Linked DNA regions of Macaca fascicularis. The protein of the gene in region 1 interacts with the protein of each later gene in a pairwise test. Links are inferred from orthologs where the notes say so. Each region holds a gene or a part of one and is shown in the gene's direction. Other genes may lie near its edges.

The links.
Region 2: the proteins of FAM131C (region 1) and HPCAL4 interact in binary tests that used the Homo sapiens proteins (3 or more experiments, as listed by UniProt). The two-hybrid records come from large-scale screens. The link is inferred for Macaca fascicularis from reciprocal best matches to the Homo sapiens genes FAM131C and HPCAL4.
Region 3: the proteins of FAM131C (region 1) and NDN interact in a two-hybrid assay, tested with the Homo sapiens proteins (2 studies listed by BioGRID and IntAct). The link is inferred for Macaca fascicularis from reciprocal best matches to the Homo sapiens genes FAM131C and NDN.

The regions. Positions count from the first base shown.
Region 1 is NC_088375.1:219,027,617-219,032,317, forward strand, and holds the start of FAM131C (protein FAM131C), read left to right. Parts: upstream 1-1,802; 5' UTR 1,803-2,026; coding exon 2,027-2,048; intron 2,049-4,701.
Region 2 is NC_088375.1:195,207,992-195,212,644, forward strand, and holds the start of HPCAL4 (hippocalcin-like protein 4), read left to right. Parts: upstream 1-1,732; 5' UTR 1,733-1,860; intron 1,861-4,653. UniProt on the Homo sapiens protein: May be involved in the calcium-dependent regulation of rhodopsin phosphorylation.
Region 3 is NC_088381.1:5,296,120-5,300,021, forward strand, and holds NDN (necdin), read left to right. Parts: upstream 1-1,654; 5' UTR 1,655-1,742; coding exon 1,743-2,708; 3' UTR 2,709-3,281; downstream 3,282-3,902. UniProt on the Homo sapiens protein: Growth suppressor that facilitates the entry of the cell into cell cycle arrest.

The DNA.
Region 1 (4,701 bases):
ACACTGGCACACAGTAGATGCTTTATATGTATCTGTTGAATGGAAGTTCTCAGGCTTCCCTGTGGTTGTCGGGAAGCTGTGGTGGAGTAATAACACATCACACCTGTTTGTGTTCACTATCACTATTATTTAGTCTTAGTCCTAAGTTGAGTACCTACTACATGCCAGTCATTTTGCATATATTAATTTCATTAGCCCTCACAGCAATCCCATGAGGTGAGATTTTTACCCTAAGTTAACAGATGAAAAAACTGAGACTCAGAGAGGCGAAGCAACTTACCCGAGGTTACACAGCTTGTGTGAGCTAAGCCCTCATTCACCCAGGTCTGCTGATACCAGGGTCAGGCACAGAACTGCTCTCCACCTGGGATTACAGGCTTGTGCCACCATATCCAGCTTTTTTTTTTTTTTTTTTTTTTTTTTTTTTTTTTTTTGAGACGGAGTTTCTCTCTTATAGCCCAGGCTGCAGTGCAATGACATGGTCTTGGCTCACTGTAACCTCCGCCTCCTGGGTTCAAGCGATTCTCCTGCCTCAGCCTTCCAAGTAGCTGGGATTACAGGCACCCACCATCACCATGCCTGGCTGGTTTTTGTATTTTTAGTAGAGACGGGGTTTCACCATATTAGCTAGGCTGGTCTCAAACTCCTGACCTCAGGTGATCTGCCCACCTCGGCCTCCCAAAGTGCTGGGATTACAGGCGTGAGCCACGGCGCCTGGACCTTCCTTATTCATTCTTCAAAACCTTTCTCTGCCGCCACCAGCGAACCTGGCTGCCTCAACTGGAAAACAGACACAAGAGTGCCTGCCCTGCCTGATGCACAGGTGGGCGTGAAGGAGAGAGCGAGATGCCGTGTGAGAGTGAGGGTCTCAGATGCTGACACTGAGTGCTGTGCACATGGGAAATTTTGCTAAAGGATGTTCACACCTTAGGAGCTGGGATGTGTGTGTGTGTGTAAAAGCAAGGGTGCTTCAATGTGAGTGTATAACTGTCATTGTGCGGGTGTGAGTGGGTATGTACACATGGGAGACTGTGTGTATTCATGTGTAGGTATGTGAGTGTGCGTGCCTGTGTGTGAATGCAAGTGTGCATATATATGTGTGTGTATGACCATCAGTGTGTGAATGAGGGTATGTACACATGGGAGAGTGTGTGTGTAGGCATGTGCGTGTGAGTGTGAATAACTACAGAGGCCGTCCAGGGCTGGGGAAAAAAACCCATGCCTCAGTTTACTTTGCCCTAGACAAGCCCTGAGAGGCAGCCTTGCCCCCCTCTTCAACCATCGCTGGAGACCTTCATCCAGCTGCCAGGCCGCCAGCGCACTATCTACCCCCACTCTCTCTACCCCACCTCTGGGCATATATTATTTTGCGTATGTTAATTTCAATCGCTCTGAATGAGGCGTTGACAGTCAAAAGTCGCTGAACTCACAGTTTAGGGCTCTCAGGCAAGGCCTCTAACTTCTATGAGGCTCACTTTCATCCTCTGCAAAATGGGCCCAACGGAACTGTTGTTCTTGTGCACACCCCTCCTCGCCCCCAAGCCCTCGTGCCCAGTCGTCGCTGTTGTGGTTAAATTCATGTTGTTTACTTTGTGCCCCAAATGCCAGGAGTCTCCCCGCCCCCTCCTTCCCCTTCCCTGACCTTCAGCCCGGGCAATCCCTGGAGGTGCGGGAGGCCCGAAGGGACAGAAGTGGCCCTCCTGCGCGCCGCGGCCACAGGTGCGCCCAGGCCTCCGGGCTGCGCTCCCCCGGGCCCCGCCCGCCGCGCCCCGCGGTGTCGCCCTCCCCTGGCAGCGGCGGGCGCTGCGCGGGAGGCAGCGGCGCGGGAGGCGGCGGCGCGAGGCGAGCCGGGCGCGGCGGCAGCGGGGACGACCGGGGCTGTAGTTGAGGCCAAGCCAAGGGCGCCCGAGCCCCCCGCCCGGCGCGTCCTCTGACTGCGCAGTGCTCAGCTCCGGGCCCGCGGAGACATGAACGCCCCGCGGCCTCACGCACCCCGGGCGCAGCGGCCCGGCCCCGCGGCCCCGTGATGGGCTCCTGCGTGTCGCGAGGTGAGGGGGCTCGGCCGGGGGTGGGGGGATCGGGCGCCGGGGACCGGTACAGTCCCCTCGCCGCTGGGAGACCTGGGGGGTGGGGCTGGTGACCCGCCCTTCACAGCCCGGCCGCACCCCCGAGGACGCGGCGTCCTGAAGGGGACAGGGCTGGGGACGGTGGGGGGCGGGGAGCAGCCCAAAGAGTGCACGTGCAGAGCTCACTGCATCCCCGCCCCGGTTTGCAGCCCCGCAGGTGACACGAAGCAGGGTCCAGTGCCGCGCTCTCATCCCTACAGCCACACACCCCCTGCCGGGTGCCTGGGAGGGGAGGGAGGCTCCGGTTCTTCCTGGCTTCGCGGAGGAACTGCGGGGCACGGGGAGAACTAGCAGACCCTCCCCGTCCCACCCTTCACCAAGACACAGGCCTTGCCAGCTCACCCCCACAGCCCCTTCCCACGTCTTACCGGGTGCCCCCATCTGCAGAGTCCCTGAACGCTGTTGTCAGGAAAGGGTTAATGGTGGGGAACAGGTTATAAAGAAGGTTCCCCTGCCCCCACCCTTATCCCTAATCCTCCTCCCCACCCCCATCCTTGGTCAGGGGACAGAAGGGCCAGAGCACAGCTGATGTTCCCAGTTACCGCCTGGGTCTTTCTCTCTTGTGTCTGACCTGTCACCCTCTGCTCTCCCTGAGGTGGTACCCAGGGAGGTGGAGGGACCTGCCCTTGCCTGGGGGACCAGGGCAGGCCCTGGCCTCTTCTATCGGTGAGTAGGGGACACAGAGTCTTGCACAGAGATTGGGGGATGGGCAGGTTGGTCTTTGGAGCCCCCTACCTCCACCCCCACCCATCACCACCAGCTTTCCAACAGGCCGCTGGGCAACATTTTAGACAAGCGATTGGGCTGAGCTCTTCTCCCACCTTGGTCTGTTCACCCCACAGTGGGATCAGGGGGGTGTGGCTGGGAGTGGGGGTGGCTTTGGCCTTGGTTCAGGCTCTGCAGGCTGAGGCCAAACCCACTGACCACCACCACACCCATCAACCCTAGTAGCTTACCCAGAATAGAGGGGACCTTGTCCTGGGGGTATTGAGCAGGGAGCATAACGCCCTTCCCCTCAGGAGTTCCTGTGGGCATTCAGGTAAGTGGCTCAGGATGTCTCTGGGAGGAATCGCGGCTGGGGAAGGGGAAGGTACAGGGTTAGGCTGTGTGAGGTTCCTTTACTTATCTATGCATTAAGCTGATATTAACATGATAGCTGCCATGTGCCAGGCACCGTGTGCATGCTGGGCATCCAGCAGCAAGGAACCCAGCACAGCACCTAGTCCATGAGGCCTGCAGCCTAGCAGGAGGGGAAGGGAGTTTGAAGAGTGAGGAGTGCTAAGGATTCTTTAGGAGCACCAGGCTCCAGAAACCCCAAAGGTTCTAGGCAGTCTCTGGCTCCAGGTGGAGGGGATCTGAGTGTTTCCTCAGTGGCCAGGTCCCTTCCCCTTCATTTGGCCACCCCATGCCAGGCACCTTGGGATCCCAGCCCCAGTGGACTGGCCTTTGAGCTGAGGACCCACTGAGCACGGGACAGAGGCTGAAGAGGAAGAGACGCCTGCTAAGGTCACCCTGAGAGGCTGGGGCCCAGGTCCTCTGACCCCACACCTGGGGGTCCCTCCACTGCCCCCTCTGCCAGGGCTCTTTGGGGCCACAGCAGCCAAGATGCGCTCCCTCCACCCTTCCTTCTGCAGCCTGGGCTTCCCCAGTGCCCCCCAGATCTAGTTGTATAGTCCAGCCTTGTCCCCCTCCTGAGAAGATGGGGCCCTTGACAGTCTCAACATGCACCCAAAAAGTTGGATTGAGGTGAAAATAGTATGGGGAGCCACGTGGGCAGGGGACGGCCAGGGTCCCAGAGACTCTGGGTGGCTGCATCACTGACCCACCCAGCTCTCTCCTCCTCACTGATGCTCTCCGAGCGCATACTAGTCTGAAAGTTTTAGGCAGATAAAGCTAGTTTGGGTTATATATGAACACAGTCCCCGTCTTACGAGTGGGAAAACAGAGGCAGAGGGCAGTGGAGAGACTTGTCCAGGGCCACACAGCTAGGAAAGGATAAGCCAAGATTTAAACCACAGCATGCTGACTCCACAGGCTGGGGCCTCAGTCTCTGCACTCACAGCCAGCCCTCGGCCCTGGTGCCTGCACCTGTTTACTCTCCTGGAGCTGCAGGCTCCTGTGGGCTCCTGTGCCCCCACCTGGCCCCTGCACCGGCAATCGATTGCTAATCGCAGCCTCTGAGTGCTGAGTGCCTCCTAGGCCAGGTAGGCACTGCTGCAGAAGGAAGGGTGAAGGGAGTGCGTCCACCCTTGGCCAAGGCCAAGGATTGCAGGCCTCAGGCTGATGCCCATACTGAGCCCAGAGCTTGCACCCAGCCGGGGCCATCCAGCCAAACCCCAAAACCTAGGTCAGGCCACACCTGGGAAAATCACCCCATCCCAGCATTGGCAGCAGTTAGCATCTGCATACTTGGTAGAGAGGCTAGGAGTGCAGTATAGGAAGCAGGGCTCCACCATTTACTAGCTCTGTGACCTCAGCAAGTGACTTGACCTTGTGTGTGTATCTCAGTGTTCCCATCTCTAAAATGGGAATTATAATATTATTGATGTCATAGGGTTGCTGGGCGGACTAAATG
Region 2 (4,653 bases), about 24 Mb from region 1:
TTTGCCCATGGTCATAAATGGAATCATCGGCAAAAATGAGACTCAATGTTAGCAGTGTGAACTTGGGTCAGTCAGTGTTAGGGTTTCAGATACCACTTCTAGTAACCCGTGCTGCCTCTCCCCACTTCTTCACACCTTGGATTATGGTTAACTGTGAGCAAGGGGGTTCTTGCTCATCTCTGGGTCCCCAAGACCCAGAGCTGAGAAGGTATCAGGGAAGTGAAAGATTTAGAACTTCAAACACCTGTCTTTCAGAAGTCACCAACCCATAGTGCCAAGGATGCCCCTCCTCCTTCAGCTGCAGGTTCTTTGAAGCCCTCAGCCCCCTGCTAAGGCCTCAGAGAGAAGGCATAGCCCGCAGCCGCAAGAATGGTAGAGCAAAACCGTTTCAAGGGGCAACGAGACAGTTCCTAAAGAAAAGGGACGTCGACGGGTTCCTCCCCCAGCGAGCCTGGCCCAGGCGTTTCTGGGACCAGCTCCAGAAGCCTCGCCCCCGCTCGCAGCAGGTCTGACCCCATCCCCCATCGTCCCGCCCCGCCCACCTCTACCTTCGCCGCGCGGACAGAAGCCCCGCCTCTCACCGCTGCTCTTCAGCGTCCGCGCTCCCATTAGGCCAATCCCCAGCCGCCTGCCCCGACTTTTGACAGATCCTTAGAAGTCCCTTCCCCGCACGTGGCCCAGCCCGGGGATATCTGCTCCCCTTTTGCCCCCAGTTTGGCTTAAAAGGGTTCCTTCCAACCACCTTGTGTCAGGAGCTCTCAGACGCCAGTGCAGCCCAGGCGGCCGGGCCGGGCTTTGGGGAGACCCCCGAGTGCGGGGAGGAGGTGTTGCCGGGGCCCTGAAAGCTTCCAGACCCGCTCAGTGTAAACCGCCTCGGGTTTGTGTCAACATCCGAGGCCGGAGACTGGCGGCGGCTGGGGACCGGCTCTGTCTACGGGACGGGAAGACGGGAGGGTGGGGAATGGAGGATCCATGGGTAGGCATAGGGGTCCTTCTGGGGGAGAACGCGAGAGGCCTCTTTGGGGTCCGTGAGAAAGGAGGAGGGCCCGTCTGGGGAGGGACCGGAATGAAGGGCTGGAGGGGTGGCTGGAGGGAACCCACGACTAGCGCGGGGCTAGGTAGAGTCTGGGGACTTCGCCACCCATACCAAGCTCTTCGCGCGCACCCAGCACCTTCTTCTCTGCCCCACGGCGTGAAGGGAGTGGGTGCGTGGGGAGGGGGGACGCAGTGGCGTGGACTGCTGACCACCCCCCTCCTCCCTCTCCCACCCAGCTCCTCCGCAGCTCCTCATTGCCCCCCTCCAATTTCGGCTGGGATATGGAGGGGGGGGTCTCATCTGTGATTCATCCCCTCTTCCGCCCCCACCCATACTGGGGCCCAGGAAAGGAAGCTTAGAGATTCGGCTGTGGTTCTCCCGTTTCCATAGCAACGGTGAGGTTGTTTTTGAGAATCCACTTCCATCGTCGACCCTTTTCACCCCAGACCTGTAAGCCGGGGGCTGAGCCTCAGGGCAGGGGTGCAGATGGGGGTGCAGCCCTCCCGCTTCCCGGCGAGTCCGGGAAGGTCAGCGCGGGCAGGCGGGGCGCGCTCCTGCGGCCGGGCCTCGCTGGCCACCCGGTCCCCACCTGAAACCCCGCCTGCCACTCCGCTCCAGAGGAGCCAATAGCCGTGCAACCTGCCCGGGATGGGGCGGGGCTTATGCAAAACGTGTCGCCTTCGGGAGGCACATAGTGATACAAGATCTGGGAGGCGGCTCCGGCGCGGACCTCGGAGAGCACAGCTGCCGGCCCGGGAGCCAGTCTCGGTCCCCGCGGCCCGCCGAGGCTCGGAGCCATCCAGCGACCCGGCGAGCGGCCTCAGGTAATGCGAGTGGGACCGGATCCTCAAGGCAACAACCCCACCCGGTGGAGGCCCTGACCCCCTCCCCCTCCACTCTCCCTTCCCATCCTCATGTCCTGCCCTGATTCAACTCCCCGACCTGTGGTTCCGCCTTAGGCGGCAGCAACTGAAGAACCCACCCCTGGGCAGGAGACCGCCCACCTCAGTCCAGGCCCATGGGTGCAGAGGAGGAGGCAGAGCTGCCTCCTTATCCCCAGCTCAGGTGAGAACAACCATTGCTCTGGCCCCCAACATAGACGCGTACACACACACACGCACACAGATGCACACACATACATCTGGGGGTGTGGTGGCGCTGGTGCTAGCTCCAGGCGCTGGTCACCCTCCCTTCTGTTTGGATATGGGTTGTCTGTCCAGCCCCATGGCAAACTCCCACCTCCACAGATAGCCCCTAGCCACTTTTCATCAGGGAGCCCCTGCCCCCAAAGACAGCCTCCCCCTCCACAGAGCGCTGCCTTCTCCTTGTCCCCAGACACTGTCCCCACTTACCACCCCTCAAGCTGACAGAGACCACAGCATACCTGAGGGAGGGACAATGCCCCTTCCCCAGTTTTTCTCCTCACAGACAGTCTCGACAGCCCTCCTCAGTGGCCCCCAGTGCTAGGCAGAGGCCCCATATTTGGCAACTCTCATGCTGGCAGGAGGATGAACCAAGGACACCACGCCCAGCAGACCACCCATGCCCTGTCAGTCCAGTTGCTGCCAAGGCCCCAACCTCCATACCTCCTCCCTCCCTGCTCACAGCCAGGCACCAAGTCCTCTCATTCTGCCTGTCAAATATCTCTCTAATTTGTATGACTATTTGCTCCCTCTCTCCATCTTCCTGCTGCTCCGTGGGGACCCTGCCAAAGTGCCATGTGGGCTGTGTTGCTCCTGGCCCTAAAGTGGACTGTACCTGGAGGGCAGATGAGCTGGGTTCAAATCTTGCACAGCCAAAGTTTGACTTTGGCCAAGTCACTTCCCTCTCTGATCCTTCATGAAAATGGGGAGGAGTATAAGAGAGAGGGTAGACTGGGTGAGATGAACTTGAACAGCCTTCTGGTACTAAGACACCCTGGTTCTATGGCTGATTATGGAAAAACAGAACCCTGAACCAAGAGGACATTAAAGAGAGGAGGCCTGAGGGGGGCGGGGTTGGTTTAGAACTCACTGAAGGCACATTCTTTCTTACCTAAGCCTAGGTACAGGCTACCTCCTCCTACACACTCTCTAGGACCCTTCTATTAGGAGTCCCTCCTAGACCACTAGCCCATCCTGACATGGACAGCTCCAAATTGAAGGTGACCATCAGGGCTTACTCTTTGTTTGTCATCCCCCGCCTCTCATTAAGAAGGAGAGGGAAAAGACCTGGTTGCTGCTGCTATTGCTGCTGCTTGGGGAAGAGCAAAGGGAGGAGAGGAAAAAGAAAATCTCCTGACCAGGGAGCTACTGTCACTATGGCAACCGCCTCAGCACCCGCTCCTCTGAAGCTGGGTGAGGGTGTGGGATTATTGCTTCCTTCAGTCCCTCCCATTCAAAGCCTCAGCCACCTCTCCATTCAAGCCCCACAGCCCTTAGCCCTCTTGAAGAACCCTCTGGGCATGCTGGGGCAGTGGTTTTGTGTATGGGGCAGTCTCAGCTCCTTCACAGCTGGAGGATAGCCCTCAAGAAGTAAGCAGAGAAGCCTGCCCAGGGTCAGCAGGGCCACAGCTCCAGCAGAGCATTGTCCCCAGCTGGGTTCTGGCCTTCACTTTGCTGCTGATGGGCTATAGTCGACCTTGGGTGAACCCTTCCTTTCCCTAGGTCTGGGTTCCATTGTCTCTGAAGTGGGTGTGAGAGCAGAAGAACGCAGATAAACAAAACAGCCTGACATAGATCCAGGGAGGAAGAAGGGGTTTCTGCTCCTCTTATGTAATCCACCAAGAGACATTCATTGAACATCACTGTGTCCTAGGCATTGCCACTATGTCTCCGCAGGGCAGTTCTGTGTAGGCACAGAAGGCAGGGTGGGAACCAGGGTAGGGGAGCTATAAGAGAGAAAACCCCCTGCTTTTATGGGTCCCAGACCCAGTGAGGACTAAGCACTCAACTGAGAGAAGTGAGTGCATAGGGAAAAGCACTTTTATTTCCCCCATGGGAAAAATAAACTTTTCTCACCCTTCAACCTGCTCAAAAGTGGACTGGGGCATATTGGAGGGGATCAACTCCTTGCCATTGAGCAAAAAGGTCTGGAGAGTTTTTTTCTGACTCAGACAGGGGTTTGATGCAAAGACCTGTCTCAAGTCAGACTGCATCCTGGGATTCTACAGCACCAGGTGAGGGTCAGAGAGCTCTGAAGTCTACATGCTTGTGGGGGACTGACTCATGCCCAAAGTGCTCAGCCCAGGCTGCTGACTCTCCACTGTCCAGACTGGAAAAGGCTGATCATAAGGAAGCAGGCTTCAACCAGGCCCTGAAGACTGATTATAGCCCAGGAGAGAAGAAAGGATATTAGGGGAGAGGAAAATAGCTTAGCAAAGAGGTGAGGCGTGTCTGGCTGTGAGAAGGCTGGCTTGAGAGGAGTATTTGGTGGTGAGGTAAGCAATGAGAGCTGAGGCTAGATAGGTGGGCACTTTGAGACCAGATTCTAGAGGATTCTGGAGCTTCAGGGGACCCATGGGCATGGCTACTTCTAGCTTATATTGTACCTTTTGGGGGGAAAAAGCCATTCCCTCCTAACAGAGGAATCAAAAGAAAGGCACTTCCTGCCAGGCAGGGAAGCCCCATGGGCAAGAG
Region 3 (3,902 bases), on another chromosome or scaffold:
AGTAGAGACGGGGTTTCACCGTGTTTGCCAGGATGGTCTCGATCTCCTGACCTTGTGATCGGCCCGTGTCGGCCTCCCAAAGTGCTGGGATTACAAAACAATGAATTAGCATATTTCTGTAAGATGCTCCCAAGAAAGTGGTAAATATCCATAAATAGAGGAAGGAGAAGGAGAAGGAGACGGAGAGAAGAAGGACGAGGTGGAGGAGGAAGAGGAGAAGGAGAAAAGTGTTGAAATAATTCCAACTAAGACTGATATCTAGGAATTACCCTGGTGAAGTGGGAAGCTAAAGAGCCTGTTGGAAGGACTGGTGTGGGAATGGCTCTGCCAAAAGTGTTATGTGCATGCAAACCCAAAGAGAGAGAGCACAGAAAACCCTTCAACATCAACCTGCTTGAGGAAAAATAAAGTGACAAGTGGGAAAAGATATATACTCACAGCGAGGACTCTAGACATGTTAAGACAATTTTTAAATGTGCTTTTGGCTTCGAGTGGCAATAATTAGACTCAACATATTTAAGAAGCTACTGATGAGAAGAAACCCTGGAAGCGCTGAAGGACCACATCAGCCCAGACCAAGGATGCTGAAGCAGCATCAAGGCCCTTGGTTTCAGAGGCTCCACCAATGACCCTTTTTTCATGGAGAGCCTGTAGGAGCGAGTTTTGTCTTTGCCCAGTGGGAATCTGTCTTCTATACTTGGAAAACAGGGTTACCCATGTTGCCCCTGCTACCCTTGGGTCATCTCAGAGACACTACCAGATATTACCTATGAGACCTAGTTGTTTTTTTTTTTAAATCTCAGGAAGGACTTGGGTGTGGCTTCCAACGTGGAGGACTCAGTAGCTTCAGAGAGGGTCCTGGGAGAAGGTGAATCGGAGAATAAGGGTGCTGGGCAGAGGGAAAAAGACATTATCATACAAGTTTGTGCTAAAAGATATAGCAATCCTTCTGCTATGGACTAAGTATGGAAAAAAATAAAATGGAATCAAAGTGACCCAAAGGAAATGTAAAACCCAAATTTATGCCCACTAAAGCATTAATGATGCTCTAAGTCCGCTGCCTACTTAAAAGGTTCATAGTTCACATGGGTTGACAGGAAATTACGTTAAGGACACGCTGCATTTCTCCTTTTCTTACAACCCCTCTGATTTGGTAGGGAGGGAGTCAATCATTTTTTATTGGAATTTCTCAGGATTCCAACCTCAGACATACACTTTACACATTTTCTTGGACAAGCCCGACTGTTCCTCTCACTCGTTCGCATAAAGCTCAAGTTTACACAGCCGCCCAGACCTTTCTCTGGGACGCTCATATTTAACTTAATTCTGGATATATCAGGTAAGCGTTTCCCAAGAAACTTGACCCCAACATCCCAAAAACTTAAGTTATCATCTTTCTCCTAAACTGGCCCCTTCTCCAGTACGCATCCATCGCACTCTTCTCCTGCCCTAGATCCCCTCAGCCCAAACGGGAAACCCCGGGATCGCTCTCTCCGCAGGTGAAGCTTAGCCAGGGACCCTCCCCGTCGGGGCTCCGCGCTGCCCCGCCCGCCCCCAGCCGCTGGCCAAGGCCGCAGTCGCGCAGGCGCAGTGCCGCGTCCCGCCGCCGCCCCGCCCTGCCCGCCGCTGCGGAAGGCGCCGCGCACAGCAACGCGCACTTCCTCTCCAGGAATCCGCGGAGGGAGCGCAGGCTTGAAGAGCTCCTGGACGCAGAGGCCCTGCCCTTGCCAGACGGCGCAGATATGTCAGAACAAAGTAAGGATCTAAGCGACCCTAACTTTGCAGCCGAGGCCCCCAGCTCCGAGGTGCACAGCAGCCCTGGGGTTCCGGAGGGGGTTCCTCCGTCCGAGACCCTGGCAGAGCCGCAGAGCCCTCCTTTAGGCCCGACGGCCGCCCCGCAGGCCGCGCAGCCTCCCCAGGCCCCGAGCGACGAGGACGACCCGAAGGCCCTGCAGCAGGCCGCGGAGGAGGGCCGCGCCCACCAGGCCCCGAGCGCGGCCCAGCCCGGCCCGGCCCCGCCAGCCCCGGCGCAGCTGGTGCAGAAGGCGCACGAGCTCATGTGGTACGTGCTGGTCAAGGACCAGAAGAAGATGATCATCTGGTTTCCAGACATGGTGAAAGATGTCATCGGCAGCTACAAGAAGTGGTGCAGGAGCATCCTCCGGCGCACCAGCCTCATCCTCGCCCGGGTGTTCGGGCTGCACCTGAGGCTAACCAGCCTGCACACCATGGAGTTTGCGCTGGTCAAAGCGCTGGAGCCCGAGGAGCTGGACAGGGTGGCGCTGAGCAACCGCATGCCCATGACAGGTCTCCTCCTCATGATCCTGAGCCTCATCTACGTGAAGGGCCGCGGCGCCAGAGAGAGCGCGGTCTGGAACGTGCTCCGCATCCTGGGGCTGCGGCCCTGGAAGAAGCACTCCACCTTCGGGGACGTGCGGAAGCTCATCACTGAGGAGTTCGTCCAGCAGAATTACCTGAAGTACCAGCGCGTCCCGTACGTGGAGCCGCCCGAGTACGAGTTCTTCTGGGGCTCCCGGGCCAGCCGCGAAATCACCAAGCTGCAAATCATGGAGTTCCTGGCCAGGGTCTTTAAGAAAGACCCCCAGGCCTGGCCCTCCCGATACAGAGAGGCTCTAGAGGAGGCCAGAGCTCTGCGGGAGGCTAATCCCGCTGCCCACTGCCCTCGCAGCAGTGTCTCCGAGGACTAGCCAAGTCTGGAGGCAGATGAATGCTTTCTGATCCTCACCAGGGCTGTGGAAGGGTGGGGGTGGGTCATTAGAGTGTTCAGGATTTACAGTGCAGTATTCACGTGTAACTTTTACGTTTCCAGTACAGTGCTTTTATACCTTTAATGCAATGTTGTATTCATTTGGGTACTATTGTGTAGTATTTAGGATGTATGCATGTTTGTTTATATGTAAGCTTGGTTGGTGCTTTCGCTTTTGTGGTACCTTTCTTGGATTTTTGTATCAGAGACGTGCTAAACTGATGAAGTACATTGAGAACGTTTCCATCTTATTAATTTACATGGGACTGAGATGTGTGTTGGGGTAGACTGCTCCTGCAGAGTTTGGAAAAACTCACCAGCAAAGCCGGCCTAACCAAGAAATGTCAAGGCCCTCATGACCTTGCTGGGGACTGAAAACATCCTCGTGGCGTAAACTAATTTGAACTGGACTGGTCTCAATGTGAGAGCACTTGGCACACTTTACTAAACACATATACAACCCCACCGTGAGTCAACTTTAAAGTAAACATTAAAGATTCTTGTGATACAATCATTTCTGGAAGTGTACGTTATCATTTTAACAAAGCAGTATGGTTGGGAATGAGACAATTCTCTGTTTTACAGTATACACAGATATAACTGTTTCCCCTAATGGGGTGGGAAAAATCGCTACTCATGATTACTCCTAAATTTGTGAAGTTTGTGGTTTTGTCTTTAACTCATGTTTATTTCAAAAACATGCACAAATATAGAAAAGCATAAAAAACAAAACAGTAAGATTGTCCATAATCACATCCTATGGGAATAAAAACCAAAAATAATTTCCTTAAGTTTCTACATTTTATCAAAATTAATAGATGCTTTGTGGGCACTTAAAGAGTGAGACATTGTACATGAGCCCTGACGTGTATTTTTCTCCTTTTATCTAATCCTCACAACAGGCCTGTCAGGCAGGCAAGAACTGCCTCTGCACCATGGAGGAAACACAGGAATAATGTAGGTAATGGACTTTCCATAGCTCATACAGGTTAATAAGAGAAGGCGCTAGGACTAGAACTCACAATGAATCCAGAGTCCACATTTGTCCCCACCTGCCTTCAACTCCCCTACACCCTGTGGTTTTTAGGTTATTTATTTTCAACTTTATATTGAAATTTCATGTGGGAGCCCACAC